3 linked regions of the Struthio camelus genome follow. The main gene of each other region encodes a partner of the protein of the gene in region 2 in a complex. Links are inferred from orthologs where the notes say so. Each region holds a gene or a part of one and is shown on either strand. Other genes may lie near its edges.

The links.
Region 1: CNOT9 (region 2) and CNOT11 share a complex: the UniProt entries of both Homo sapiens proteins name them as parts of the CCR4-NOT complex. The link is inferred for Struthio camelus from reciprocal best matches to the Homo sapiens genes CNOT9 and CNOT11.
Region 3: CNOT9 (region 2) and CNOT8 share a complex: the UniProt entries of both Homo sapiens proteins name them as parts of the CCR4-NOT complex. The link is inferred for Struthio camelus from reciprocal best matches to the Homo sapiens genes CNOT9 and CNOT8.

Annotation. Positions count from the first base shown.
Region 1 is NC_090942.1:152,289,364-152,298,867, forward strand, and holds the start of CNOT11 (CCR4-NOT transcription complex subunit 11), read left to right. Parts: upstream 1-5,113; 5' UTR 5,114-5,127; coding exon 5,128-5,569; intron 5,570-6,425; coding exon 6,426-6,590; intron 6,591-9,504. UniProt on the Homo sapiens protein: Component of the CCR4-NOT complex which is one of the major cellular mRNA deadenylases and is linked to various cellular processes including bulk mRNA degradation, miRNA-mediated repression, translational repression during translational initiation and general transcription regulation.
Region 2 is NC_090947.1:28,488,360-28,498,363, forward strand, and holds the start of CNOT9 (CCR4-NOT transcription complex subunit 9), read right to left. Parts: upstream 4,292-10,004; 5' UTR 4,115-4,291; coding exon 4,091-4,114; intron 3,572-4,090; exon of another isoform or gene 3,433-3,571; intron 1-3,432. Other genes in the region: USP37 (ubiquitin carboxyl-terminal hydrolase 37), read left to right, coding at 5,457-5,612, 9,020-9,191, 9,725-9,825. UniProt on the Homo sapiens protein: Component of the CCR4-NOT complex which is one of the major cellular mRNA deadenylases and is linked to various cellular processes including bulk mRNA degradation, miRNA-mediated repression, translational repression during translational initiation and general transcription regulation.
Region 3 is NC_090954.1:11,999,158-12,008,948, forward strand, and holds the start of CNOT8 (CCR4-NOT transcription complex subunit 8), read right to left. Parts: upstream 4,295-9,791; 5' UTR 4,118-4,294; intron 4,104-4,117; exon of another isoform or gene 3,955-4,103; intron 3,821-3,954; exon of another isoform or gene 3,635-3,820; intron 2,990-3,634; 5' UTR 2,907-2,989; coding exon 2,790-2,906; intron 1,115-2,789; coding exon 921-1,114; intron 1-920. UniProt on the Homo sapiens protein: Has 3'-5' poly(A) exoribonuclease activity for synthetic poly(A) RNA substrate. Its function seems to be partially redundant with that of CNOT7.

The sequences.
Region 1 (9,504 bases), on a different chromosome or scaffold from region 2:
TGTTCATTTAAATTTTACACCAATTGCATATTGGCACTCAAATAGTTTGTAGAGTTTTATTTGTATTTGTAAAGGGGTTACCTGACCAACCAGACTGTCTGTGTCATTTTTAGTCTGGAATCTGTGCATCCTTATTAGAATGTATGAGCCAAGAGGACAGAGTTAGAGATGGAGAGTCAGTAATTCAAGTACAGCCCAAATCCCTTTGTCCGTCTTTAAGAACTCAATGCGTGAAGTTTACTGAGGTTCTTAGCCAAATCCAAACATAAAGAATGATGGAACACACTTTATGCTCTTACGGACCTTTTAATGGCTATTCTATAAGCCACCTAAAAGAAAGGGGGTATGCGCTGCATAGTCCCAGAAGAGCTGTTCTGCAAAGGCAGAAAACGGAACTTTTCTTTACCTTTACACCATGAGACTGTGCTGCAGTGATACATCTTCCGTGGAATATAAACCCACTGAAATAGCTGGCGTCCCAAATCTCCCCCTTGAGAGTAATGTGGTGCCTTTTAGAAGTCATATCTGGGCGAGAATTCATTCATTTGAGCCTCCGCTAGCATCACATTCTCTTGGTTCTTCCTTGCACAAGTTTCAAGCCTGAGAACATCAGCAGCAATACGCTCACAAAACGCGTATGCTCAATATGCTCACAAAACATAGCACCTTGTGCAGTTATGGAAACCCTCTTTTGTAGCACATTTACTATACTTCCCGTCCCAGTAGCATTTTACCCCCATCTTTTTCTTAGGCTAAGATTTTTGCTCCCGCAAAACGGACATCTGCTTTAAAAGTCATGAGGACTTCATTATCTACTTTGTCAACTGATGCTTGCTGCCCATCCCACTTCCTATAAAGTATTCCATCTTCTAAACTGTTAGCTTTCCTGCTCTGATCAGAAACCTTTTCATTTGGATAGAATAATTTAAGATGGCTTCATTAGCCACATATGAGTCACACAGGTTTTTTTGCTATCTCAGTCACCCGGGGAAACTTTTTATTGCTCTGAAGTCCATTTCTGCAAATCTACATCCATTACTCCAGTAAATATGCTATACAAGAGTGACTTACATTTCTGCAAATTATAGGAAGAAGCTTTCTCTTTCTAAACATGTTTGTTCCTCTTGCAACAAATCTTTTGCTCTGCTGTCTTCAGCAGAGTTTGTTATTAAGAAGTAGGCTGTACAAAAAAGACCATCTGGACAGAAGCACCACAGTTCTATTCAACTGTGAGACAGCATCCAGCAAAGTGTCCTTCAGCGTGAGCCACAGATATAGGCGTCATCATCCCTAACAACAAACTTCGTCCCAAAAATGAACAAAAAATGACTTTTGCTCGCACACCAAAGGCAGAAAATCTGGAGAGTCTGTGAATCCAAGAGATGAGCAAGATATAAAAAAACACTGAGGGGAAAAGGTTTTAAGAGAAAAGCCAAATTAATTCTTTGCATCTCTACATGAGATCTGGGAGACGTTCCCACACAAGAACCTTTACTGACGGGGTACAAGTCAAGAGAACTGTCTTACTCTGCAGTGTTAGTAAAAGAAGTGAACCTAATTGCCTAAAATGAGATATTATTTATCACCAGTGGCAGATGGGATTCACTCAAGAGATTTATACCAGCTGAAGGATGAAGATGATAACCTATGAACTGTGGGTGTACCTGCTGATCAAAATGGTCTCAGTATCAAAGAAAGAAGGGTGGCAAATGTCACATCAATCTTTAAAAAGGTCATGCAGATAATCCAACAAACTACAAACCACCAAGTCCAATTTCTGTACACATTGCAGGAAACTACAGCAATGAACAGAAACGTGCCCAGAGAGGTGAGACATTGAGGATTAACCTCCATGTGTGTACATAAAGGGACTGATGATGCACTCTTCCTGGGTACATGCTGCAGCTGCTCAAAGATTCCCAGTGAGACAAAATCATTCAGGATTGTCAAACTCATGGGAAACTACTGCAGGAGATTTTCATAATATTGAATGACTAAGTGGAATGGTGATGAAATCAAATATTTGATAAATGTAAAATACTGCAGCGAGGGTGGGGTGGAAAGGGAAGGAATCCTTCCCTTTTGTAGAGTTCAGTGCTACCCAGCCAGCTATTGCCGCTGAGGAAAGATAACCTGGAGTCATTGAAGACAGTTCTTTGATAGTGTCAGCTCAACCCTCACTGGTCAAAACAGCAAACAGCATACTAGGCATTACTGGAAAAGCAACAGAGAACAAAACAGGTCTCATTACATAAAGGTGTGTAAACCTACAGATCTACGGGACACTCACAGGTGGAACACTGGATGCAAGTTTGGTTCTCACTACTCAAAAAAAGGATATACCAGAAGTAGAAAAGCAGGATAGAAGGGCAATAAGGATGACAGAACTATGGAATAGATGCTACAGAAGAGGACATTAAACAAATGAGACATCTAGCCTAGAAAGAGAACACCTGAGGTAAGATAAGTAAGAGATGTACAGAATGATGAGTGACGAAGAGAGTGGAGAAGGAAGTACTGTTTTGGACAGAAGGGGTCTTAAATTGCCACGCTCATTGCCATAGGTTGGCGGTGTCACAGAGTTTTATGGATGAAATATAAACAGGCTCAAAAAACACGTAAGACAAGCTCATGAAAGAAAGTTCCATTTCACTAATCACAGTGATGAGGATTCAACCTTTGACTCAGGAAGTCTCTAAGCTGCAGATGGCCAGAAGCTGAGAGTACACAGGGGGAAGTGTCACTCTGTGCTTTCCCTGTTACACCCTTTCTTTAAGCTTCTACTAGCAGTCATGGAGAGGGCACTGAGCTCAATGAACGTTATGAACCTCACTGTTTTTGTGCACAATGATGGACGTTTCTAGCCACAGCTACTCATACAAGTCTCCTTCATTTAGTCCAGTACCTCCTATCAAGAAAACCTAGTTTTGCTGTAATAAGCTACCACTCTCCCAAGTCTTTTATATCCCTGTATCAAACCAGATTCCCTCGTCTGTATAGCTGTTTCAAAGAGAAAGAGGAACAGCCACTAGGGCCTCTTCCACTCTGCAGACCACTGAGATTGTTTCACCTCCCCAGTGAACAATGGTTCTTTAATCCCACAAAACCAAAAAATCTTTCCCCGACAAGAACAGAGTACTGCAGTAATTCCTCTATAGATGAGTGCTGGTGGGTCAGAGGGGAAGATAAAGTTGGTCTCTTCTGCATATCCTCAGTTTCTTTGTAAGCTGAAATGTCTCCTCAAAGACTGAGTGTTCAAGCCAGGTGCAGAAGTTCATCCTTTCCACCTATTTTTCCAGAAAGCCATCTGAGTTCTGAGGAACCTTCCTCTCCTAACTACCGAGCTTTCACATTATTTCAGTGGGGGTAATCAACCTCCTCTATGTATCACAAGTAAGGCAGAAAAGCTCTCCTACATGTCTAAACTTTCCCAGGTTTACGGTCCTGCTAGCCTCACCGTACACCTACATAGATGACTTCCTTCAGCAGTTTGCAGTCCTTTGATCTTCCTCCCAAATCTTACAATTTAAGTCCTTGCTGTAGCTGTTAGTAAGTTCCAAACTGCCCCAACTTCCAAGACTCCTTGTTTCCTAGAATATACTCTGGGCCAAGACAGCAAGTTCACCAGCCTCCTCTTCCATCTCCTTTACTCGTTTAGCCTGTGTATTTTGCAAGCAGATTTCTCACAGTGATCTAGTCAGTGAACAGGCACTATACCAACAAGGCTTTCAGAAGACCGTCTTCCACATGGCTAACATTCGTTCAACTATTATCAGCACTTCTTCAGGCTGTGCTTGGTCTGTCTGTGGGCTGCTGTCGATCTCAAGATGCAGTTCCACAGGGTAAGCTGATGAAATAGATCTTTCTCCCTTTCTTCCAGTCACACCCTACTGCAGCTCCACTGGCCTTCAGGTCTTGCAAGAAACCCTTCAGTGGATAGTTTCCAGTTGAATCAGCTCATGGAAGAAACAGATGAGCCCCAGCTCCAGGATCGCCTTTGGGCAGGACAAAAGTGGACAGCGAGAATAAGCACGTTTCAACAGCAGGAATTGGCAAGGTTGCCTTGGCTGTTCACTGACGCACGGCCCTGGCTTCTCTGTTCTTCTCTGTCACTCTTCCTCAGACACGCAACCTTTCACAACACATTTGTCCACGTGTCAGGCACGTGCCCTTGCTCCCACTCTGGGTTATGACATGAGAAGACATTTGGGCTGGAAGTTTCATCTGTTGTTTCAGAAAGCAACTCGGATGAGTCAGTGATCTTAACTGAAGGATATCATAAGAAAATGCAATCAATCACCTAATAGCTCTGCTGTTAAAAGCAGTTGTGATTGATTCTCCTCAGCCAAGAAAACAATGCTAAATCTACCTCTCAGCAGGGACAGGCAAAGATGGAGAGAGCTACAGATGCAGCTACAGGTCAACCATTTTGCTTCCTCCTGAACAGCACCTCATTTCTTCAGATCGCTGTATGACAGCCACCCTGCTGTGTGGGTTCTAGTCGCAGTTATCTCCCTGGAGGTCTGTCCAGCAGGCCACCAGGAAGCCGAGCAGCTCCCCATGCACCTTACACTGGGATTGTTGCTCTCCTCTAATTAAAAAAAAAAAAAAAAAAAAAGGGAAAGGAGGAAAACTAAGGGAAGGGAGAAAAACGCCCCCGCCCGCCCCGCACAGGCCCGCCGCCCCCGCGCACGCGCAGAGCGGCCCCCCCGCGGCTGGCTGCCGCCGGGCTCCCCCTGCCGGCCCGCCCCAACGGCCGCGCGCTGCCAGCCGCCGGCGCGCTCCGGCCCCACCCCCTCCCCGGCGCGGACCAATGGCAGCACGCGGAGCCGCGCAGCCAGGGCCAATCTCCCCGCCCCCTCTCCCCGCTTCGCGGCGCCGGCCAATCGCTTTCCACGGGGACGTGCAGGCGGCCAATCGCCGGGGTCGATCGCGCGCGCGTGTGGCGCCCTGTGCTCGCTCGCCTGCCCGCCCCGCGCCAAGCCGGAGTCTCCCTCCCGCCCTCCCGCTCCGTTGCGGCCCCGCACTGCCTTTACGGCAGCGCCGTAAAGCGGTGCCGGCACGGCGTTGCGGCCGCGGGGCGCAGCGGGGCCGGTGGCCGTTGCGCGGGGCGGGGCGGGGGCGCGGATGCCCGGTGGCGGCGGCGGCAGCAGTAGCCCGGCGCCCTGCACTCAGGTGGGAGCCGAGGAGCCCGGCGGCGCGGCGGGGGCGGGCGGCGGCCCGGCGGCGGCGGGCGGCAGGATGAGCCTGTCGCCGAAGGAGCTGTCGAGCCTGCTGAGCATCGTGTCGGAGGAGGCGGGCGGCAGCACCTTCGAGGGCCTCTCCAGCGCCTTCCACCACTACTTCGGCAAGGCCGAGCACTTCCGCCTCGGCTCCGTCCTCGTCCTGCTCCTGCAGCAGCCCGACCTGCTGCCCAGCCCCGCGCAGCGCCTCACCGCCCTCTACCTCCTCTGGGAGATGTACCGCACCGAGCCCCTGGCCGCCAACCCCTTCGCCGCCGTCTTCGCCCACCTCCTCAACCCCGCGCCCGAGCGCGGCGGCGACGAGGCCGAGCGCACGCCGCTCTCCGGTGCGTCCCGGGGAGTGGGGAGGAGCGGGGGGGGGGTGCTGGGCCGGGGGGCAGCGGCTGGTGCCCGGCCGCGCTGCTGGGGGGCAGCCCCCCCCCCCCCCCCGGCGGCGGGCTGAGGCGCTGGGAGCCGCCTGGCCGTTTGCCCTCCGTAGCGCTTCTCGAGGCTTTCGGAGAGCGGCAGGCGTTCCCGTCCGGGGGTGGCGGGGAGTGCAAAACGGTGGCGCTTTTTCATGGCTAAAGCGTTGCCGTGCCCGTGCGGCCTGGTCTGGCAGAGCTTGCTTGACTGGACCGTAAAACGGAGCTTTCGTGAGTAAGCTTTTACAAAAGTCGTGAAGGTAATAGGAGTTTCTCAACAGCTTCTTAAAAGCGGTGAAACAAACTTTGTAATGAAATACGTGGAACCCTATATGTGATACAGTTTCCCCCAGCAGTAAATACATGCATGACAGTGATGGGTAAATCACTTCCTAAATTTTTTCTTGGTTTACTTTCTGTATAAATGGCGGTGCATATCATGTCATGTTTTATAGCTCATTATTTATGTAAACTTATCTAAACTTACTTAGTCTAAACTTATGACTGACTTAGTGTTAGGTGTTGCATGTCAGCATGTTCTGCTTTTAGATTACTTTTGTGTTTAAGAACCAGTAGGTATAATGTTGAATTTTACCTTAGGAGCTGAGTAGATACAGGTTTTGTGTGTATTTACAAAGACTTTTCAGTTGCACTGATGTCAGCATAAATCATACAGTAGTTTGTGTTCTGTTTTTGTTTGCTGCTTCTCCGTGAAGACTATTGAAAGTACTAATGTGGCTGGCCTAACAGTCAGGGATTATTTTTCCTTGTGTCTTCATAGGCTTTTTACCTCCCATAACTCCTCCAGAAAAGTTCTTTCTGTCTCAACTGATGTTGGCCCCCCCAAGAGAGCTCTTCAAGAAGACTCCTCGGCAGATTGCTTCAATGGATGTAGGGAACATGGCCCAGTCAGTGGATATAAGCGGCCTTCAGCTAGCCTTAGCAGGTAAGGAAGAACCGCAGTGTGCCATGGTTCAATTAGAATTCAACTGTTAATTATAATTTGCCTGTGAGCTACTTGGGAAACATTCTTGCCTATCCTAAATATTAAAAAGGTTCAGCAGTGGTTTTGAGTAATAGGATAAAGCAATCTGTGCTTGAGGTTTCTACTTAAAAAAGCAATTTCCTACGCGCAGAAGTCCTCACTGCCTTAAAAATAAGATATTTTCACAAGTATAAAAGTATTTTCATCTAAAGCGTTGTTTCTTTTCTTTCCATGAATGTTTTCATCTCTTTTCACTCTCTGCAGTAGTTCTAGTATGAAAGAACATAGGATAACTGTCACATAGCAGTATTTCAGCTGCAGCTGGCAGATTGGCTATTACAATTGCATCTCCAGTTTTATGAAATAGTCAGATTTTCAAGTGTGAGCTCGAGACTGGGAGCACGGTCTGCTTTTGCTAGGTTGAAAAGAAAAGCAAAGTAATGCTTATCCTTTGACAGGAGAAAGGAGCATGATTGTTCTGATCGTTTCGTCTTCTGGACGTAATCTGAAATAGAAAATATTGTGGGGGACGAGGAGCCAGTCTAGACAGCAAAAATTAGTGGGTTTTTTTTTCCCCAGTTATGTGCAAATGGGTTTACTCACCTGAAAACTGATCCTCCTGGTTCTTTATCTATATAATGTGGTTCACCTCTCTGAATTATGCACTGACTAGGCTTTCTCAGTCCCACCGTTGTATTTTGATCTCATCGCTTTTTGCAGGATCAGTCACTGTTTTCTTATGCTCTGTTATACTGTCCCTTGTTTGCAGTGTATAAATCTTCTTTGGTGTTCTCCTCAGACATGATTTCCAGACTGCAGGATGTTTTGAAAATGCAACATTGAATACACTAACCTACCTTTGAGGGGTTGTCACAGTTGTATGGATGGGTACTCAATGCATTTTATTCTGCCCTTTTTTTAAAGTGCAAGACAGTGGCGTCTTTAAAAACAGTACAGTCATTAATGGTGCTTTTCAAAATGCAGCCCTGTAAGATGTGCTCGTATGTTTACTTAAGATAGTAAACATGCATAACTAGCTTTGTTATATAACTCTTGCAAAGACTCATAGCAATACTGTACTTCTGATAAAACGTTATGCTGCCTTTCTCATACTTCGAGCTGTAGCTTCCAAGAATAAATGTCTTCTTTCTATCCACTTTCTTAGAAGTTGACTCTTTTCGCTCTTATTTCAACATTGTCATGCTTCTTGACTGTCTACTTGTAATGTTTCAGAAATACTGAAGACTTCTGAAAAATTTACAGTGCGTTTCTCCTAATGATTCAAAATGCAAGATGAAGCTGTGCTGTTTATGCAGTGCAGACTTATTTCTGTTGCAACGCTTAAATACGATGTTTGAGGTGTTGGATTTGTCCCATTTTTCTCCATGTTTCCTGGAACGTAAAAGTTGTAAGGCTTCATGGCTCTGGAAAGTGGATTTTGTTGTTTGTTTGCTTATTTTTGTTTTTGATTTTTTGTCCCCGAAATGAATTCGGGGCTGCTTAGAGGAGAATGATTTCTGAGCTACTTTAGATTGTATCTGTGAAATCCACTTAAGCTAGTTAGAAAGTATTACGCTCTTCAGTGAATCTGTCCCAAATGTTTTTTCATGAATGGGGAAAAAAAAGCACTTAGCTTGTCCTCTGGTGTCTGACCTGAGGCATCATTTACGCATTCTTTAAGTTAAACATGACGACTTCCCTTTTCAGCTATAGCATGGGTTTTTTGTTTTGTTTTGCTTTGTTTTTTTTCTAAGAACAGAATGTTGGAAAACAGTGTCATGGGAATCAACGTGAAAGCTTGGTTTGTTCTCTTACTTGGGTCTGCAGAACGTTCATTCAAGCCTCTGTCTGTTTCTCTAACTTGCTTTTCTTGACCTGGTGTGTTACCCTATCAAAAATGTCACTTTCTAGTAGCTGGAGGGACATGTCTCCGACAAAGCATTTTTAACTTTTTGATATCATTTGATAACCCTTACTTGTTTTAAGGGTAATTGACCAGTATTGAAAATTGATTTCTAATGCATTGTAGTATCTTCTGTTAAGAATTAAAGGAAGTTTCTTGTAATCTGTAAATAAGGAAAAAATAAAATAAAATAAAAGCCCTGTAATGGAACCTTAGGAATTGTTTTCTTATTAGCTTTTTAATTCAAATGTATTAGTTCAAGAGGCAGGCTATATTCTTTTCTGTTAAATGAGTATCTTAATTATAATTTACTGCTCTCAGTTTTTGCTTCCACTTATCTGAAATCATTGATCCAGCCCTGATTCTTGGAGCAGTGAGTGCGGGCTGTTGAGCTTCACTGTGTTTAACTCAGGCTTCATGCAGGCTCCTAAAATCAGTGAATTGAAGGACTGTAGCCTAAGCGTTTATACTTCGTATTAACCATCACTGGTGATTTGAAATTATGGGGATCCAAAACAAATCTGTGATTTGCTATTACCGATTTGATAGAGATTTAAATTCTAGACTATAAACTACAAGACTGAAAAAAGACATCCAATATCTTTTTCTCTTTCCCCTCAGAGAACTTCATTTGTTAAATCAACCATTCTGTCCAGTGGCTGAATGAGAGTGTTCACAAGCTGGACTTTGCAACGGTTCATAAAGTAGAAGAAATGTTTCATAAACCAGTTCATTTGGACTTACGACTTAAAAAGCACTTTTTTGAAAATAGCTAAAAAGTATAGTACTTTAACAGGAAAACATACCCTCTGTGCTAGTTCAGTGAGCGTATATTCAAACGTTTGCATGATCTGAAATAATTGGACAAAGCAGAACAGAGCCATAAAATAAATTAGCAATGTGTAGTGCTTTGTTGTGATGACCTCGTCACTCGTAGGAAGTTCAGCATCTCTCCTGGATTTGGCTGGCATC
Region 2 (10,004 bases):
CGTTAGGCACGGTCTCTTTTAATCCTCTTGTCAAATATTATCTAGTAACTTCCTTCAGCAATAAGGGAGCCATGCTACTGCCTGTCTGGGCCAGCAGAGCTCCTGGGGAGGTCACACATACTTTAGCCAGCTATCATCTGTTCCACCTGCGTTTAATGCTCCATATATAAGCTTCCACAAATTCAAACAAGGAAACAACATCAGTAATTGCAGATGCTACCTTTTTCTCTCTAAAAATTTTGAAGATGCTAGGCCCATCAATGTGATTTGCCCAAAGTGATTTTTTTTTTTTGAAAAAGAGTCATACAAATACTAGAAAATACTCGTTATTCTAACATCAATGTGACACTGTGGGGCAGATCAAAAACATAACCAGTGACACCTCCTGCTTTAGGACTTTCAAACTTATCCTATGTATCTTGTTTACAGTCAAGGAGCTAAAAGGGAATTTCTCAAGTGTTTGGTCTTGTGCAAGAATTCACGTTCCAAATAAAACCAAAGAAGGGTAGATCTGTATTCACGGTCAAGGCGTATTTACTACTACTCAGGAAAAACTCATGACAATCTCTCCTCTGCCTTTTGTGGAATATCAGACAAAGAATAACATCAAGGCCAAAAAACATGCAAACAAACAAAAAACAGGGGAGAGCTGGGAAGAAAAGGAAGATAAATGGGTACTATGGAATCGTAGCACAGTTTCTGTGGAAAGGTAAAGGAGCAAATCTTTCAGCGAAAGCTTGTCTCATGCCTCTGCTGTCATAATAAGCACTCAAGGTGCAAACAAATGCTCAGCAGGCTTCCTAAAGAGACAGTTTAGTGATTCAGATCAAAAATTTCACAGCAGATAAACTTAGACATTAAAACCTCCTGTCTGAATTCTAAAAGTCAGTTCTGAACCTATTCAAACACTCTCCTACAGTGTCTGCTGCTCAAATAGAGCACAGCTCTATTAGTATGCTACCGCTCCTGAGCTAGCCTGCATGCAGCCAGCTCAGCATCCCCATATACCCAGCAATCGTGGCTGGAAACAGAGAACTGACTGCATTTCCTTCTCTCTCTCTCTCTCTCTCTTTAAAAAAGCAAACAAACAAACAAAAAGCACACAGACTGAAACTCCTCACGCGCTTACCACAACAGATGTAAGCACTGCATGTACTGCACTGACAGCAACACTACTAGGAAGCAGCTCATCACTGAGTCATCGAAGAGAATACAAATGAGTTCAGGAATTGAAAGTGATTGGAAGCCAAACTGAAATCGTACGTCAGTGGCAGCCTCCCAGGATGAGACCCCCTCCAGAGCTTTCCATCTCTATTTCTGCAAGCCCTCCACAGTTTATTCACATATTATATCTGCTGTCATTCTTTTCCTGCTGTGGAATTTATATTGAGCAGAAACTGTAATTTGTTTATTGCCCATCCACTTCCATCACATCAGTTATCTTGCATGCCTGCATATAAGCTGATATGCTGTTACCAATCCCTACACTGTGGAGCTGAAATGGCTTTTAACTCTTCATCTTTCCTGCTATCCCCCTTTTTTTCCTCTTGCCACCTCACATCTTTTTTTTTCCCAAAATCTCACATGAAGATAGTAACACTGACAAATTTGGTTTGTTTTAAGAGCTGAAGTGCAATTCCAATGGCAACTCCTAAACTGGAGCTAAGAAAGAGAGGGAGAACGAACAGAGCTCATTTGTTTTGTTTGGAACGGCAGAGGAACAAGCAGCGTAGCAATAACATTGTTGTAATTGTGTTATTTAAAGCTTCCATCTATTTTTCTAGACACATTGGAAGTTTCAGTTCCTGTAAGCTTAAATACATCGACCCTTTAAAAGCACAATCATGTGCCTGCGATCCCTACAGAAGACTAAGTAGATTTTCCACACAGTTAAGTTTTTCATGTCCGATACCTGTCTTAACAAGAACCAACTGCTTTCCTTAAGCCCTACAGTTGCTCCTCTCATCTTAGTTTAACCAAAAATATATTTTTTTTCCTACTGTCCTACTTTGTTGTTTCACACACACACACAAAACCTAAAGCTCTGGAAAACCCCAGAGGCTCCAAGGTAGGACCCTCCCAGGTAGACTTTCTTTTGCACATAAGGAAAGCAAAAATTACCAACAATATCTTAACACAGCATGAACTAGCCACCTCTGCATCACGAAAGATTTTGCAACACCTTCCTCATGAGAAGGGGTGTTACCTCAAACATCTCTGCCAGATTACATCTCCAACAATTACATAACAAACTCAGTTTAGGCAAGTGGCTTTCTTTTCCTATTTAAGCAGCTACTGCTAGGCACGCTGGTCAAAATACCGACTGAGGAAACGAAACATCGACTGATTGGATGTACATGCTTTTATAACAATTTTGATAGATCACCAACCCCAAAACACTAAAATGAACTTTTTATTTAAATAGTAGTGAATTAGGTAGTTTAAGTCAGAGATTCACTGCCTGGCTGCTAATTAAAGCTACATTTATTGTTTTTAGTCTAATCTCAAGTCTTCCTCTCTAGCACACTATCCCATCTTCAGGCCTAAAATCTAAGTATTATCTCTGCCTCTGGCATCACTATAAAACGACCAATACTCTAGCTTACCATCTAGTTTATCGTGATGACATTCACTATGCCCAAGGGAATTCCTGAGCCAACTCACAATCCAACCAGGAGGTAACATTATCTACCATAGTTCCCAAGCACTTCTCCAGAGATGACCATCCCTCCAAAACACACTTACTCTACTGCATGCTAACTGACCGAGACAAGAATTGTTCCAATACAGAACTATCAGGTTGCAGGAATTACATATGAATTAAAGATATGTTCAAACGAACCACAAAATAAAGGCAATTTAATTCCTGAATCATGTTATTTTATTAAAACTGTCTTTCAAAAAAATCCTCTTATAGGGAGACAATTAGACTACAGATAGAGGATTAATGGGAAACACAACAATCCCTCATGCATTTTGACAAGCACATATGAATTACATTGCTATAAAAATGTAAGTGCTGATTAACAGAGTTCACGATGAATTTGCATACCCTTCTGTGCTCCAGAAAGTGTCACTTTAAATCATAAGTATTTGCCAGCACTCGAAGAACCAATTTACAATCACGACCACTTAAACAAAGTGGAAGACTTAAGAAGTTCCCTCAACTCCTGCTCATAAGTACTTTATTCAGCCTTGCTTGTTTTTCAATCCAAGCAGATCCTTATGCTAAGCGAATATGAGAACAGCTCTAACTGTTGGCCTTGCAGTAAACTTCCCCAAACACAATACGCACCAGAGACTCAGTCAGCTCTGGGAAGTCTCATACATGCAATGAACGAGCGTTTGGAGAAACGAAAACAAAACAGAAACCCCTTCAGATGGGAGATAAAAAGCAATAACCGCATTGCTCAGCCTCCCAAACTCAACTTCCACTTGTGGAACCATCCTGCCAGCTGGGTCAAGGTACTGTTCTACCGCTGAGAGCTTTAATGCCCGGCAGCCCGTCCCACCACGGCAGCTTCCCGCGAGGGAGGAAGGGAACAGCACAAGCTACAGACTGCCCTGCAAGGTACTTGGGGAAGCAGAGAAGAAAAAGGCGGTCTGGTCTGCCTTTCCTCCCACGTTTCGTCTGCTGCCCTGAGGGACTTTTCACTTTCTCGTCTTGGCCTCTGTAGTGAAGGCCAGAAGTGAAAAAGCTCCCCAGAGGACAGCGGAGGTGGTGGGACCTGCGGAACACGCCCAGACGCGGAGGGAGAGCGCGGTCAGCAGCAGGAGGGAAAATCCGGCCCGGCCGAGCCCCGGCCCGTGGCCGCGCCGCCGCGGGCCCGGCCCCGCGGGCGGGGAAGCGCCCCGGCCCTCCCGGGGCAGGAGGGAGCCGCGGAGGGGCGGGAAGGGCTCCCCCCAGCGCAGCTAGAGCGGGGAAGCGCTCCCTCGGCGGCGCCGCCGGCGCCTCCCCCCGCCCCGCAGGGAGCCGACCGCGGCCGGGCACCGCGGCAGGCGGCCCCCGTCCGCCCCGGCGAAAAGGCCCCTCGCAGCTAAGGGCCGCACCGCGGTACCCGCCCGCCGGGGGCCCGCAGCCGGGTCTCACCGCGGCCGTGGCCAGGCTGTGCATGGTGGGAGCGGAGGAGGAGGAGGAGGAGGAGCCGCTGCTGCTGCTGTTGCTGCCGCCGCGCCCAGCTCAGGAGGCCGCCGCCGCCGCCGCCATAGAGGCAGAGCCGCCGCTGACCCGCGACCCCTGACCCCTCACCCCGCCGCGCGCCCGGCCGCCGCCCGCGCGCCAGGCGGAGGCAGAGGGGAGGGGCGCCGAGCGGAGCCGCGCGGCGCGCGCATGCGCGGGGGCCGGGGCGGGCGGGCGGCCGCCCCTCGGGCGCATGCGGGCGGGGCGGAGCGGGGCGAGCGGCGCGGAGGGCGCGGGGCGCGCCGGGAAGGGCGCCGCAGCGCTGACGCAAGCGAGGGCGCGTGCGTACGTGCGTACGTGCGTGCGTCGCGCGGCGTCTGGCGCTGCTGGCCGGTTCCCGCCATCCGCCGCCGCCCCCTCCCCCGCCGCCGCCGCGCCGGGACCCGCCGGGCCGCAGGTACCGGACGCCCCCCGCGTTTCCCCCTCCCCCCCCGCCACCGCCGCTGCGCGCGCAGCCCCCGGCCCTCACCCCCCCCCCCCGGCGCTGAGGGCCCGGCGGCAGCGGCGGCGCGGGTCGGGCCGGGCCGGGCTTGTGTGTCGGCGACGAGGCGGCTGCCGCCGCTCCCTCCCTCCCTCCCTCCCTGCCTGCCGCCCGCCCGCCCCTCTCGCGGACCGCGGGCTTCTCCCATTCATTGCTGTTATTTATTTTTTCCCCCTCCGTGAATCCCCGTTGCGGCGGGGAAGCCCCGCGGCTCGGCGCCGCTTGGCCGGGCCGGTCCCTTGACGAGGCAGAGCCGGGCGGGCGGGGCCGAGCGCACGGCGGCGCTTCAGGCGCGCTGGTAACTACCTGCCGGTGATACCTGAGGTAACCCGACCCGCCGAAGAGCCTCTCTGGTCTCCGGTCACAGCGGAAACAAAGTAATTCCGGTGTAGGGTCCCTTTGAAACTTTGTTTTCTTCCCCTTTATCAACTTTACGCTTTCTTCCTGAAGATAGGTGCGCCTTTTTTTTTTTTTTTAATTTCCTTAAACCTGTGGAAATCGGTTTAAAGATTTGAAAGAACTTCTGTGTCTTTGTTGAGTCCACTCACCTCTATGCGTTTAGGAGTCAGTGTGTTACTGTCCGAACTGGGAAAGTTTTTATTGGTCTGCGTTTCCTTCAGGTGGATTAAAGAAACAGCAAAGCTTACTTTTATCAAAGTTCTACAGAAATGTTTAATCCTATTTTTATCTTTCTGTAGAGACTATTTGCTACTAGCTAGTTATAATCTTCTTCTTTTCCACAGCTTTTTAAAGTGACGTACGCTTACTCCTATTAGTTCTTTTCTGTGAGAAAGCATGGCTCCACTAAAGGTGCATGGACCTGTCCGGATGCGCAGCATGCAGACTGGGATTACAAAATGGAAAGAAGGGAGCTTTGAAATTGTGGAGAAGGACAACAAAGTGAGTCTAGTGGTTCACTACAATGTTGGAGGAATTCCAAAGACATTTCAGGTATAGCAAATATTCAGGCTTTTGTTTGAGCAGTGCATGGCTTGTGCCCTTTTTTGAACAGCTGTCCCCTTCAAGGCTATTAAGAGTCGCATAAACTTCCCTCTGTCCCTGTTTCTTGTTCCTCATTTCCTGAACACTAATCCCTTTGTATAACTCTCCTGTAAATTATTCAGGTGTATTGTTAAAGGATCTGCTGAGGTCAGCATCAAGCCTACGATTGAATAGAAAGAAATGAAAAGCAGAGGAAAAACTACCGAAGTATACACTGTCTTGTTTCACACGTTTAAAGTTCTGGAACATGCAACCTTACTGATAAGTTTGCAGAATCTAGAGGTGACGCTCCATGTGATCCTAAAGGATTGCATTTATACTAGCAGTTTTCCTGGCTGAAGAGTATCAGTGTTAACATACTTGTAGCTTTTCTAATTGCTTATACCACACTGTTGTGCTATATATGTATTACAGTTCTGCCCAGTTTTAAGTTTTAAATATGCCAGACAATGTGATTTGTGCACTGGGAGACTGAGGCAGATTATTATTAGGGATTCTCTTCCCATATTCAGCCTAAACTGTCTTTTTTTTTTATTCTTTTCATTCTGTAGTTGTTTTCATCTCCCTTTTCCTAGTTATTTCTTTTATGTAAGAAATTACTGTCTAATTTTAGAAAATGTTAGAGGGCACGAGCAGTTTAAGAAAAGACCCTCTAACAGTTAGTGACTTTGTAGCAGCCTTAATTGGTCTAGGTGTTGGCTTCTGCTTTTTCTTGCCACAATCATTTTCCAGCTCTAGCGTTCATCAAACCTTTCTCTGAGCCGCTTCTGTGCGTTGACATGGTGAAGAATAATTTGTTTTATTTTTGAAAGATCAGGTTTTGTTGCCTTAGCGCGCTGAAAAGTCTCAGCAACGAACCTAACAGCCACGACAATTAGCACTTAGATCAGCCCGTGTTGCTTTTGAATCAAGGTATAAGATAGAATGGTCTGTCTTCTCATATCTGATGCTATGACTGCATGTTTGCTTTAATCCAGCGTTAGATCATGTCGCAACTGAGAAGAGCGGTCCTTTCTTCCCCGCGTACCTTCCTGGGGTGCTTGTTCTCACACGTTCCTTTCCGCACGGGCAAGCGTTAACGCGGCATCGCAGTGACTTGAAGCATAGGTCCGCAGGGAGGTTGAACCTATGTAACAACTAATCGTGGCCTAAGGGGCAGGTCTTGCTCGCAGCCTGCTGCCGTCTGCTGGCTCTGGCATTTGTCAGATATCTCTGTGAGCCAGTTCATTTCACAGACTTGGCAGAAAAGTAACTTGAATTCACTCAAGGAAGGGGACTGTATGCCGGATCTGGTAGAGGGAGTGGCATGGGCCATGTAGGTAGGAATGCAATGAAGGAAGAGGAGCAAGTATGCAGCCACATCCTTAGACAAATTTTGTACGTTTTGGTGGTGGCTATTTTTCAACTGGGTCTGCTTTCCAGTCCTGCTTATCTTGCAGCAACACAGACACTAGTATGAGCACAAGAGTGCTATGGGAACAGGCAGCAGGCAGGGAAAGCAGACTGCCCCCTGTACCACAGGCTTGCACTTGACTGTAGTTTACGTCAGCTGCCCCCAGTCCATCAGAGTGCTCTTGCGTGCTGTTACAGGTGTGACAAATGCCTGATAAATCTATTTTAGAAGTAGCATTCTTTCTTTGTTGACAAGTTGCTCTGGGAGTACAACAGACCCTTTCTCTACCTTTTTTCATTTCTATAATAAAACATTTGGATAGATCCGGGGTTATATTTCTTTCCACAACCACTAGTGCCTCATCCAACTTCTTACATAAGATGATGCGTTTCACAGATTTTTAAAAGCTTTGACCAGGTTGGGCTAGATGGTAGATAAGTATTAAAAGAACTATTTCATTTGCCCCTGCCTCCCAAAACTTTATAACATTTATTGGGTCATAATAGGTGCATGGAGAGTATGCGTAGAGTCCTTTCATAGTAGCATTTTGAGTTGAAATGGGTTGTTCATTGGGATGGTGAAGTAAACTGTAATCCCTTTCCGGTGGGCTCCATGTTTTACGCGAGGATGAAAAATTTGAAGCCTCTTCTCAATTCTTCAGTCTCTGAATTTTTTTTTAAGAGCAAGAATTAAGCATAAAACATTACAGAAGTTTAATTTTTCCAGCAAAATAAACCCTTTAGTTTCTGTTTGAGTTGGATTTCCAGCCTCTCTCATAAACTGCTGGTAGGTCTAGATTAGCTTCCCAAAAAGCTAGTGATCTCGGGCGGGGGAAATCTCACCGATAGACGTGGTATGCGTTTTACTGTCTTACAGTAAAACTTGAACAAGTTTAAATAACAATCACGAGTCCTTTTTGTTTATACTGATAGTGTGGCAGTATGCAGATGGCTGAATTAGGAGAAGCCTCCAATCTGATAGGCACTACACAGGGATGTAGTAAAAGCCTGCCCAATGACCTTGGCTGTGGCTTCCAGTGTTGTTTGGAGGACTATGTGAACACAGCGGTATACTGGCGTGGAACTTGTTGCATAGCTAGCGCCTAATCTTAGGCAAGGCTAAAGAAGTGACTAGCAAAATGAAACATTAAGTGAAGAAGGACAAAGGAATTTAAAATGTGGATACACTTAGGTATACGTCGTTAAACTTGCATTTACCCAGAAGATGCAAGATACGCTTTTACTTCCTCTGTTTTAAGAGTTACCCTTAGGCTGCATGGATGGAATCGTTACTGAACGGCCAATTTCTTGAAGGTGACTTATCAGAAGTAACAATTATATAATGGTATAACGTAGAATAAAGCAGCAGTGGCGATATTAGGGAGCACAAACTCTTATTAAAATTATTCTTGGGATAGACCATAACCCTGAAACTTTTGATATCGTTTGTTTTAATCCTGCATATGGACTAAATATGTTTCTTATTGACTTATTTCCTAACTGGGTTGTTTCAGCTATGTCAAATCTGCTTTCCCTGAGAGCAAATTATAAACTAAATGGAAGTTTGTGTTTAGTGTTTGAAACTCAAAACTTTTAAACTTTCACCATCTTAAATAATAATTCGGACTTTATGTAGAAGTTTCAGACAGCTAAATGGAACTGTATGAAGCTCTTACCCCTTTATGTTCAGAAACATCACACTCCACAGCGAACTAAGTTTCAGAAAGCTTGTCCGGGAGTACAGGGACTGTTCAGCTATAGCGATAGTGTCCTTTCAGTTCTGTCAGTTTCCAGGATAACTGATTGCATTAATTCTGTGAGGCTTAATGTTTGCTCGAAAAGAAGCAGGGGGGAGTATTTCTGTGTAAGTACCTCTTACTCTCTTGAAGTTTTTTGTTGGAATGTATTAGTCTTTTGATCTTTTTAAATTGGATTTGTGTTTACAATCACTTTTTCCTTTTCAGCTAAGCCATAATATTAAAACTGTGACCTTACGACCAAACGGTAGAAAACTGTGCTGTTTGATGCTGACACTAAAGGATACCAGCTTCCTGACAATTGATAAGGTACCATTTAAAGACGCAAATGAAATGCGGATGTATTTGGATGCAGTCCATCAGGACAGGGTTCATACTGGTAAGTACGATTGTTGTAAATCAATTAGTGATAGGTTGGGGAAGGGTAAATGCTATGTTTTCTTTTTTCACCTTTAGCTGTTCTGTCCTCCTTGTGTTACTGACTTTCTTTGCGTGCTGCATTTGTGTAAGTGCTGCTTTTTGGCCTCGAACCCAAATTTTTGTTACACACCTTTCTCATCGTGTACCTTTGTCATGCTCAACAATAAGCAGAAAATAAACTTGGACTTATTGTTTATGTTGTAAGCAGGTGTGTATTCGAAAAACTGTGTTCATCGCATGTGCAAAGACTCTTTTTATTTTTCCTCTTATTTAATTTTAATCTTTTTAAGGGTAGGGACTGTAGTGCCCTTTAAGCAAACAACCAATATAAGAGATATTCATAAAAATGAGCTTATGTTTGTGATCTCAGAATATTGTACTGTCTGGAAATCTGCTGTATCTCTTCCAAATTCAGCTGTAGATAACATTCTTACAAATAAGAATGCCAGTCAATTAAATGACAAACTAAATATTGTGTGCTTTCGCTGTCAGCTGGGAAACCCTCTCAGGGATCTGGCAGCTTTGGAGGTGTGCTGGGCAGCAGGACCACACAGAAGGAAGCTAATAGACAGTTCTCCTATATAGAAAACCAGGTTTGTTAAACTGCTGAAGTTAAAATTTTTCCTCTTCTCTAATTTCCTTTTATTCATTTCTTCCTGTTATGCTCTTATTGTACATTGCAATGGCACTGTTAGTACTTATTTTGCACCCGAAGTGTTTGTAATCCAGAGGGCTTGGAATAGATGTGTATGGGGCGTTGTGGCAACGGTGC
Region 3 (9,791 bases), on a different chromosome or scaffold from region 2:
ACTTCTGTACTAGACTGCTTCGTTTGGTATGCTGGGAGGGAACAAAATTCATGACAAAGATAATCATTTTGGATCAAATGAGGCATTCACAGCGTCCAAAATACTTCATTCTGATTTCAATACTTCTAAGGCCCTGACAAGGTTGGGGAACTAAATACTGCAACTTTTGGTGTCAATAAATGCATGAACAGAATACATGAACAAGAATTATTATAATGCTTTCCAGTAACATTTTCATAAAATACCAATTTCCAAAAAATTTGTGTGTTTGCCAGAGAAACACTCTCTTTATGTTTCCAGGCAGCTCTAGTGGTATGCATGCTAACTTGTCTTTACAATTACACAGAAAGGGATTATGAAGTTTGTTTCAACTGTACAAAGAAATAACACTGTAAAAGAGATGAGAACTACTGCCATACTCCATTTAACAAAGTCATTCTTTTGAATAACTGTTATGATTCCACCAACGTTTTTTTTTTTTTTTAAATGCCCCAGCTTGTATTTGGCATGGGTCTGTAAGAGGTGTCGTCTTCATTGCAGAGGAGAGCACATCCATTTATTTTTAGCAAAGAGAGATGAATTTTTAAAAGATACAGTTTATAAAAAAAAAAAAAAAAACCACACTATAGCATTGTTCCAGAACACACGTTTACGGCACATACAAATACTGGGTATAAGCCATTTAGCGAGGAAAAGAGTATTAAGGATCACATTTTAGCAGAGCTTTGACTTCCAGAAATACTGCAAACTCCTGTCATGACAAAACAGATTCCCACATAATCTTTCTGTATTTGACTCTGAATTTGTATTGGTCAGAATCATTCACCAGTGATGAACCCAGTGACACCTGCATTTGCCAAAGGAAAACATCAGTGCATCAGCAGAGAATAGGTGATCGTTCCCTAGCTCAGAAGACTCACGTAAGGTTGAATTTGAAGTTAAACTGCCAGGTGTTGATTCCGGAAGGATATTCTCCCTTCTCATTTGTGAAAGTTAGGCCCAGCTGGATAATTTTCAGAAGGTCAACATTACAACGAAGGAGCTGGTATTGATAGTCTATGGAACTGCGGAATTCACCAATTGGCCTTACAACAACTCCAGGAAATTCTGTGTCCTAGTAAAGGAGGGGGGGGGGAAAAAATTACATCACTTCCTTTATTAGCAGTCTTACGTTCAGTTCCACACTTTTAGGTCCCAGCGCTGAATCTGTACATTTTTCTATGAAATTACTTACATAATAGAAGGCAGAAAGGAAAAAAAGTATTTTAAGCTACTGGGAAAAAAAAAAACTAAACAATTCATTAATCATTATATTCATTCATTCATTCCAGGTATCCTCTTTCAGTGTTGTTTCCTTCCAGAGCAAAAAAAAGTTATAAAATCACCCAATATGCACTACTGCATAATCTAAACATCTCTCTCCTGAAAGACTAATCCTCTCATTTTCCCTAAATACACTAAAATGGGCATTTTATATTTATTCAGTGTTCTTTTACGTTCTAAATACAAGTTAAATTTAGCACTCACAGTCTTAATGTGATAGTCCAGCTAGTGATAATCTTCACTGTTTTTGAAAAACAACCAACACCTAAATTAACAAAAGCTACTGCCAATCAAAACAGACTTCAACAAAAGAGAAACTGTGTGTTACATAAAAAACATTTTACTTGGCTAGTGATTGCGTGCTATCTTGACTAAACCTCTAACTTCTAGACTAGTTTTACACTCAAATTTATTCACATAACTTCTGACCAGCTTGATAGAGAACATATCCAAAAACTTTCATAAAGAATCCAGTATTATGCATCTGACAACATTTCCTCCTAGCCTAATCTTTTTGTGTCCAGTCTTACTGCCCAGTTATTCATATATGATATCAGTCCAGCCATTAGCATAGATCTATCTAAACATGCTTTCATTAACATCAAACAGAGCAAAGAAGCAAGAAAGCTTGTTTCCCACCAACTGATGACAACAAAACTGAATCACATTTACAGGATTTTAAGTGTTTCATTTTTGAATAACATATACTCTGCAGGGATATGTATTTTTATGCCACACTTCTATTAAGGACTTCGAATGTCTTGAAGTTTAGACTCCCTAAGCAAAGTTGACATAGTACAATAACTAGAAACAGTTATGTAATTAACTGGCTCCTGCTGAGCAGATACCTATTTTTAAGAGCAGGAAAGAAACCATTCCTCCCATCTCTCCCTTCACCTTGAAACTAGAGTTCTCATTAAGATCCTTGGTCTTCTGAAATAAAACTCTTCGAACACATTGCCACACCTGCAGCCAGAAAAATCTATTCCATAAGAATCAGCATCTGACCGCAGTAAAAAAAAGGAGGCATTCCTACCAGCCACCAAGTTGCAACTTGCAGGCCTTTTGTCCTACAGTATCATGGCATTTCCCATAGCCAAAAGGAAACAGGCATTCAGAGGACAAGTATACCAGTGAAATCTGAAGATTTAAACCCAATTGTACATCTGATCTCTTTAATTTGAGACTGCATTAGTTTATGCAATGGGTATAGTTAAATATTAAATGATTTCAGATGTTGAAAGTGGTTTTCACTTCCCCACCTCTCATTCAATCTGTACGGAATACTATGTTTACCAAAATCCATGAAGTCCTTATAACTGAACAGCTTTCTAAGTTTTCACTACTTAACTTTTAGCTCAGTTTGGTCACAGGAAAACACCATTTCTGGTTCAAGAATCAATTTATTCTCCTGCCCCTAAAAAATCCCCTGACTGTGGCAATAAGGTCAAGTATAACATGCTTACCATTGCAATGTAACTGTAACTTAGAACAATCTCTCGAATTTTCCTCATCTCTTCTTCCAGATTGTTTGCCCATACTTCACAGATAACTTGGCTGTTCTCTGCAAGGGCTGCTGGCATCTTGCAGGGATTGTAGTAAAAACAGCTGATGTTGAATTCAGTTGACAGCGTAGAATTGCAAGCTGTGTGATCTAATCAGTTTGCTGCATTAAAGAGAGAAACATACAGTACTTTACACGAAGAAAGATCTAGGTATCTGAATGAATGCACTAGCAGAGTAAGTCACGTTTCTATTCTTAACCTCAAATAGCAAAGCTAAAGTTTTACACTAACTGTTTCCTTGCTTTTATCACTTCCTTTAAACATGCTGAAAGAGAAGAAAAACTAAACCATCCGTTTGTGTTACAAGAGTAGACATACAATTAATAGAGTCCAGTTATGCAAGTCAATAGTGCCTCTCCCTTTCATCTTCTCCTGGCATAAACTCTGAAACTCTAGGCATAAGATGCACAAACAGGGAATCCTCACACTTAATTTTGCTTAGCTTCCACCAAGGTGCTATTGGGATAGTTTTGAAGACAAGTAATAGATTGCTTTACAAAGGACACTTATAAAGGCAGATGCTTCTCTGATGTAATTCAGGAAACACTGAAAAAGAAAGGTATTCCAGTTTATACTAATGCCGTTTCAGCAGTACAACGCCTAGGATAAATCACACTTGGCATGACTGCTTGTCTATCACTTTCTGAAACCACACGGGCAAAATTATTACAGAAATACGCAGCTAAGGCTCAGGTACTGCAGCAAACTGCCGGTATGCTCGCACGAAGTTAGCTGAGGGTACCTACAGCGGGGAGAGGGACGTGAGGCAACTGCCAGAGCCTTTCTGCGAGCGGCTGCTAATGGCTCGGGCCTCACGGCCGGGGGGCCGTCAGCCGCCGCCGGGCCGAGCCGCTTCCCGGCAGCGGACGGGCTCAGCCGCGAAGGCCGCGCTGCCGCCCCGGGCCCGCCCGGCCGTCCAGGCCTCTCAGGCCGCTGCCGGGCCCGCCGCCACCGGGGGGGCACAGGGAGGGGAGGGGAGGGGAGGGGAGGGGAGGGGAGATCCCGGCGCCCCGAGCTCTGCCGGCGCTGGGGGCCTCCCGCAGCGCCCGGGCCGCCCCGCCCGCACCTGCTGGCGCCGCCAGGCCCCGCCGCTCGCGGCTCCGGGGAGCTGGGCCTCGCCGCTCCTCTTCCTGTGGGCCGCCCGGCCGCTCTAGCCCGCGCTCACCCCCGCGACTCGTCTGCTCCGGCGCTCCCCATCGCCTCCCCGCCCCCTCCCCCCGCCCCGCTACCTGCCCGGAAGCTTGGGCCGGGCCACTCGCCTCCGCGCAGGCGCGATGCGGCCACCAGGAGGGGCGGAACTTCCGGGCTGCCCCCGGCCACCGCCCGCTCTCGCGAGAGATATGGGAAACGGGCTAGGGCGCGCGGCGGGGTGTGTGGCCGGGCGCGCGTGTGGCGCGCGCTCCCGCGGAGAGGAAGGGAGGGGGGCGGGGGGAGCCCGGAGCGCCACGCGGGGCTCCGCCCGGGTTGCGCCTGCGCGGAGCCGTTGCCCTTGTGACAAGTCGCCTGTCTTCCCTCCCCCTGCCGGGGCAGCTAATGGGCTCGCCCGAGCTCCCCGCGCCGGACGCGTCGGGCGAGTCCAAAGCCCGCCCGGGGGGTGAGGGTGGGGGAGGCGTTAGGTGATCTCTCCCTGAGGGACCGACCCCTTCGGGCCGCGCCGCCTCGTTAGCTCGGCGCCGGCCCCGGTCGGGGCGGCCGCGGCCCGCGGGCCCTGCCGGGTGGCAGAGCCCCGAGAGAAACAGCTGCCCTCGCCGAGGGGACGGGCCGCCCCCTTAAATGCCATTTAGGTTACATTAGCAACAGGAGCTTTACCGTCAGGTAAAGCAGCCTCATGTAACGCGTCTGGCGTAACGGCGCTGCCAGCTCTCCTGCTTTGCTGGCCGATGCTGCCGGCAGGCAGGCAATGTATTTGGAAGCCTGTGTAGTTACAATTAAGCGGAGGTAGTACCTCGCTTCGTCCGGGCTGCCAGCCTTCTTGGGCAGGTTTGCAACCTAGAATTCTGCAGCTCTGCTACTGCTGCAGAATTGTTTCCTGCCTGTCATTTGGGTTCCCTTGGAGTCTGTCCTCTTGAACCTCGGCTACCTCCTTACTATTCTGATACAATTATCTGGCGGGGCGAGGGAGTCACTGTCTTTCGTGTCCGACATGTTTCGGTGTCCCAGGCTGAGTATTCATACCTCAGCAGAAATGTAAGACCTCTTAGGATAAGTTTATTTGAATACTGCTGCTTTCTAGCAAGTGTCCTTGATGGTGTCAGCATCTACGGACATCAAGCAGTATTTACTGAACTTCATTTTAATTCAAAGCTTATCTTCGTAGATGATAGTTACTGTTTTGCCATCTCACCTTAGACCTGCAGTCTCTAGGTCATATAATGCATATATTATGCAACATGCTAGACTAGCAGAAAGCAATCACCTTTCTTCCTATGGTCACTTGAATTTGGGCAAAGAAACCTAAGTTGTTATCAGGTAAATACATCGGGATAGATTGCAGCACGCCATAAATACGGAATTAGATTCTTGGTTTTTGTTTGTTTGTTTTTTTTTTCACTTAAAGAGTTCAGAGTAAGGTATGTACTTTATTTTTCTTGCTCATAAGCCCAGCTCTTGAATTTATGTTGAATCCAGGCAAAAAGGGAGGAAGAATCTTCTCAGGACACAGAAATGTGCATGCTTTGTTACCCTAATCGAAAATATGTTGCAGGAAAAAAATCAGTTGGGATAAATTATGCTTAATATGTTTGCCAGTTTGCAACTAGGTTAGAAAAAAAAGCTAGGATGTTTGAGTGCTGGCGGTAGTTTGAAACAGACCTTTTGCTCAAGGAGAACAGAATTTGTGTTTTTCATCATGGCTAATTTCAGCTGCATACAAAGGAAAAATAGCTGGAAAAGGCAGACTGCTCTTAAAATATGTCAGTCCCATAGTTCTTATATTTGGAAGTTACCAGACTTGCTTTCAGATTCATCACTCCAGAACAGGTTCCTGAACAGGCTTCCCACCCTCTATACAGCTCTGTTAAGACGACACTAACAAAACCAGTCCATGTGTAGATGTAGTACGCTGCAAGGAGGATTGACAGGCTTTAGCTCAACATTTTTGTACTAGTCAATATGAGCTGTATATTCCGGATCATGCCCTTTTCAGCAGCACAAAGAGTAGACAGCTTATATATGGAAATCTTAAAATACATGACTTCAGAGTTAAAAGATAAAAGTATTGCTGAACATGTTTTAGCTGTAACCATCATTTCCATTTTCCTAAAACTTCTATTGTTCCAAAGGTGTTTCAACAAGTATTAGGTGGCACACACATGCCCTCACAGATGGTTAGAACTATAGCTTAGTATACAGGGAATTAATGATGAGCTGAGGTTCACGAACTCCAGGATTCATCTTTGTCATTAGTGGAATTATTAGCATGGTTTTATACTATCCTTTAAGCTAATTCCTAGTGTTTCTCCTTCTAATATTTTTTACAAACAGCAAAACAGACAGTGACTACTACAAAAACTGTAGAGAGTGAACAAAGAGAAGTTATTTTATGAAGTGTCTGATCAAAAATCCTTTCCACTGAGAGGAAAGCAGTCTTCTTGCACTCCTCAAAGCTGAGCCTCGGCAAAGGTGGCAGTAACACTGGAGGGTTTTGTGATGAAGATACCAGTGCAGGGCCCAGGCTAACCAACAAATAGAAGCAGCTTTTAGATAACCTCCAACCTGGACTAGACCCAGACTTGCAGTCCAAAAAGTAAATGACATTTTTGTCCTCATATGACTAAAATACTGGTTGTCTGTTCCTATTGGGTGTAGAGCTTTCAGCTGTAACCTGTGTCTGATTTGAACAGGTTTAAAAGAAACTCTGGGGTCTGCAAAACTCCCTGGCTTTTCACCTACTTTTGCGTATTGGGTGAACAGTTCTCCTAGTGAAGAGCCATTCCAAATAAGTATCAGCTCAGGACAACGTTCACATGGCACCCCTCTCGTGAAATGCCATTTTCCACTTCCTCTTCTGTGTATGTGTAAATAGTTTGAAGGAATCACTTTCCTTCTTGTTGAGTCTGCTGTATGCTAAATAACAATTAGGAGCAACTGCTAAGAATTAAAAACTCTTTTGTCACTAAGAAATAGTTAGAATTAGTCAAGAGAAAGCGTCAATGCAAACAATAACACAGTCTTAAATCTGAAATGAAGCAACAGCAAATGGTTTTAGCGCTAAGAGGACAAACAGTGTGATGTTGGGAGGGGAGTTCTGGGAATATTCTCCTTCCAGAAAAAGTTAATTGGTAACAGCATAGGTATAGTGCGAGGTAGAAGAAACCAGGCACAGACAGCAAGACACTGTCATTACTCATGCTTGCAGATCTCTCCGCAGCTCTAACCGTGGCTAGCTGAGATGTTGCTCACAAAATAGCACTGTATATTGCTTCGCCTATGAATGCACCAGACAAGTTTAACTAGGAGGGAGAGGAAATACTCCTTATTTTTTGTTGTGTGGGAAAATAAATCTGGAAAGTTATGGTGAGTAGTAACACCCTCCCTTCTCAGAGTTTGGTTCATAATAGGGCACTGTATGTTAGGTAAATAACGTGTATTGGGGCCACATCTGCATAATGAAGACAAATGCTACTGCAAATTACATCTTGCTACCTGTAATACCATAATTACAGACTTCATGGTCTTTAAACATCTTATTTAAACAGAACTGAGCACATTCTAAGCTATTTGCATCTTCTGCTTATAGGTAGTTCCAATACTGTAACTGGTGTAACTGGTTTGAAACACACTGTAACAACAGAGTTAGTGCAACACTTACTTATATTGAAAACTGAACTGCTTTTTTTTTTTACCAGATTCCCCAATAACCCGTACTGTTTTTAACAAATACACTTTTGACTTACTCAATTGCACTGACGCTTTGTTTTGTGCTCAAAACATGAATTAGTGCATTATAAAAGATACTCATCTTTAAGGTGTAGCTGGCTTTTTTATTCCCAGATATAAGCATTAACTCTCAGTGGAAAACTCTCACCTGCAGAGATACATTCCAAATGCTTAAATGAGTGACAGTGTGTGCATATGCAAAGGGAACACTGCCTGTACTAGCAGTGACATGGCATTGGCTTCACATGACTTCTCTAGGAGGGGACAGCCAGCTCTCGATTGGAAACACACCCCTGTCGCCTTTGCCTAAGCCCTCATAAAGTTTCCGCAGCGGGAGTGAAAGGTGAGGAGTTGAACTCTGGGCTCTGAATAGACACAGAGGAACTCTGCTAGGCTGCAACCAGCAGGAGGTGAGCAAAGAATGGGCAGCCTGAGTTCAGGGGCAGAGTAGGTTGAAAATATATGACAGAAACTTCAAGGAAATAATTTTAAGGCAATGTCATGTATCTATTTAAAATGTGATTGTGAGCTCTTGCAGGTACTCTGGTTGCCTTCAGATCCGTGTGGTGCTTGGCACGATAGGACACCCACCAGACACGAAATATAGTCCTGTGTCTGTCCATATAGCGTGGCTAAAATGCAACTTTTGGAGTGACCAGGTAGGTGGTCCTTAAGTTTTCGTTTCTGTAAGTTCTATATTTTCACAAATAGTTATAGCCTTTTTTTTTTTTTTTTTCCCCTCGGGCAAGGTTGTTTTCCACTGCCTGTGCACTATAAGGGTGGATTCCAGTGAAGTAAGTTCTAAAATAGAAGACTCAAGCAAGAGGGAAAAAGGCAGACCAAGCAACTGCTAGGCAGTCAGTCCATCATTACAGACATATCCTGTTGGTCAGCTTCTGCACCTGCCAGCAGCCTGACTGTTTGTTTGGTGTCAGAACAAGACATACATCCTGGGTAAGTACAAGGAGAAGTGGACACCGGTGCAGTCGAAGCTTGGGACTGTCTTGGCAAGAGGAAATATAGGGGGACAACAGATGTGGGATATAAACAATAATGTGAATTTTGAAACAGACCTCAAAAATATGGCAGTTCCTTTTTCTAAAGCTTTCTAAAGGTTTCCCTTTCAGCTTACGTCAAGCATTTTAAAACCTGGCTTAGACAGACTATCTTTTTCTGATAACTGGAATGGTTAAGTTCAGTGAAAACAGATCTCTTCATGAACAGTTGCTGGAGAAATGAAGAAGTACTTGAGAATAAAAATTGTATTTTGTATTACAGTTCTTTACTGACTAGTTTATGTTTTCCCTTTTACATTGAGAGTGTGACTAGCAAAATAATTATTATTACTTTATAGGTGAGAATTTGGTTTGAATCAAATTTTGTATTAACTAGTTAGAAATAACCTAAAAGAAACTCTTTTAAACAGCATCAGTTCTGTGTAATATTTTGAAATGGCTCCAGCCAGCCAAACTCTTCATTGGTTGATTCTGGGCTGTCTGGCATGCCAGCATGAGTTTAATGCCAAGGGGTTGGATGGAATGTTTGGTTTGCCAAAGCAGCCATGGTTACATGAATGCTTCTGCTAATGTATTTGGTGTATTCTGAGTCAGAAAAGACAACATTATCCAACAAAAAAAGAGTAGGTAGTGAGATGGGGAAAAACATGATCAATCAAGATTTACCTTGCTTTAGTATAAGTAACATAAAATTTTATTCTGTACATGTGACTCAATAAATGTAGCACATACTGAGATTTTGGAGAGAGGAAGGAAAAGCAAACATGGCAGCACTATTTCAAATGGGAAGGCTTTGCCTAAGTAAGACTCCTGTCGTAATTTGATTATTTCAAAAGGAGGAGGACAATAAATGTGTTCATTATTTTAATTCTTTCCCAAACTCACAGAATATAAGACGGGAGCAAGCAATGGCTCTTTTCCTTCGTAAGAACTCAAAGCAGAGTCACGCTCTTCACTGTGCTCAGCACTCTAGTCTTTTGCCTGCTTAAGATTTAGAAGAGTTTGACTC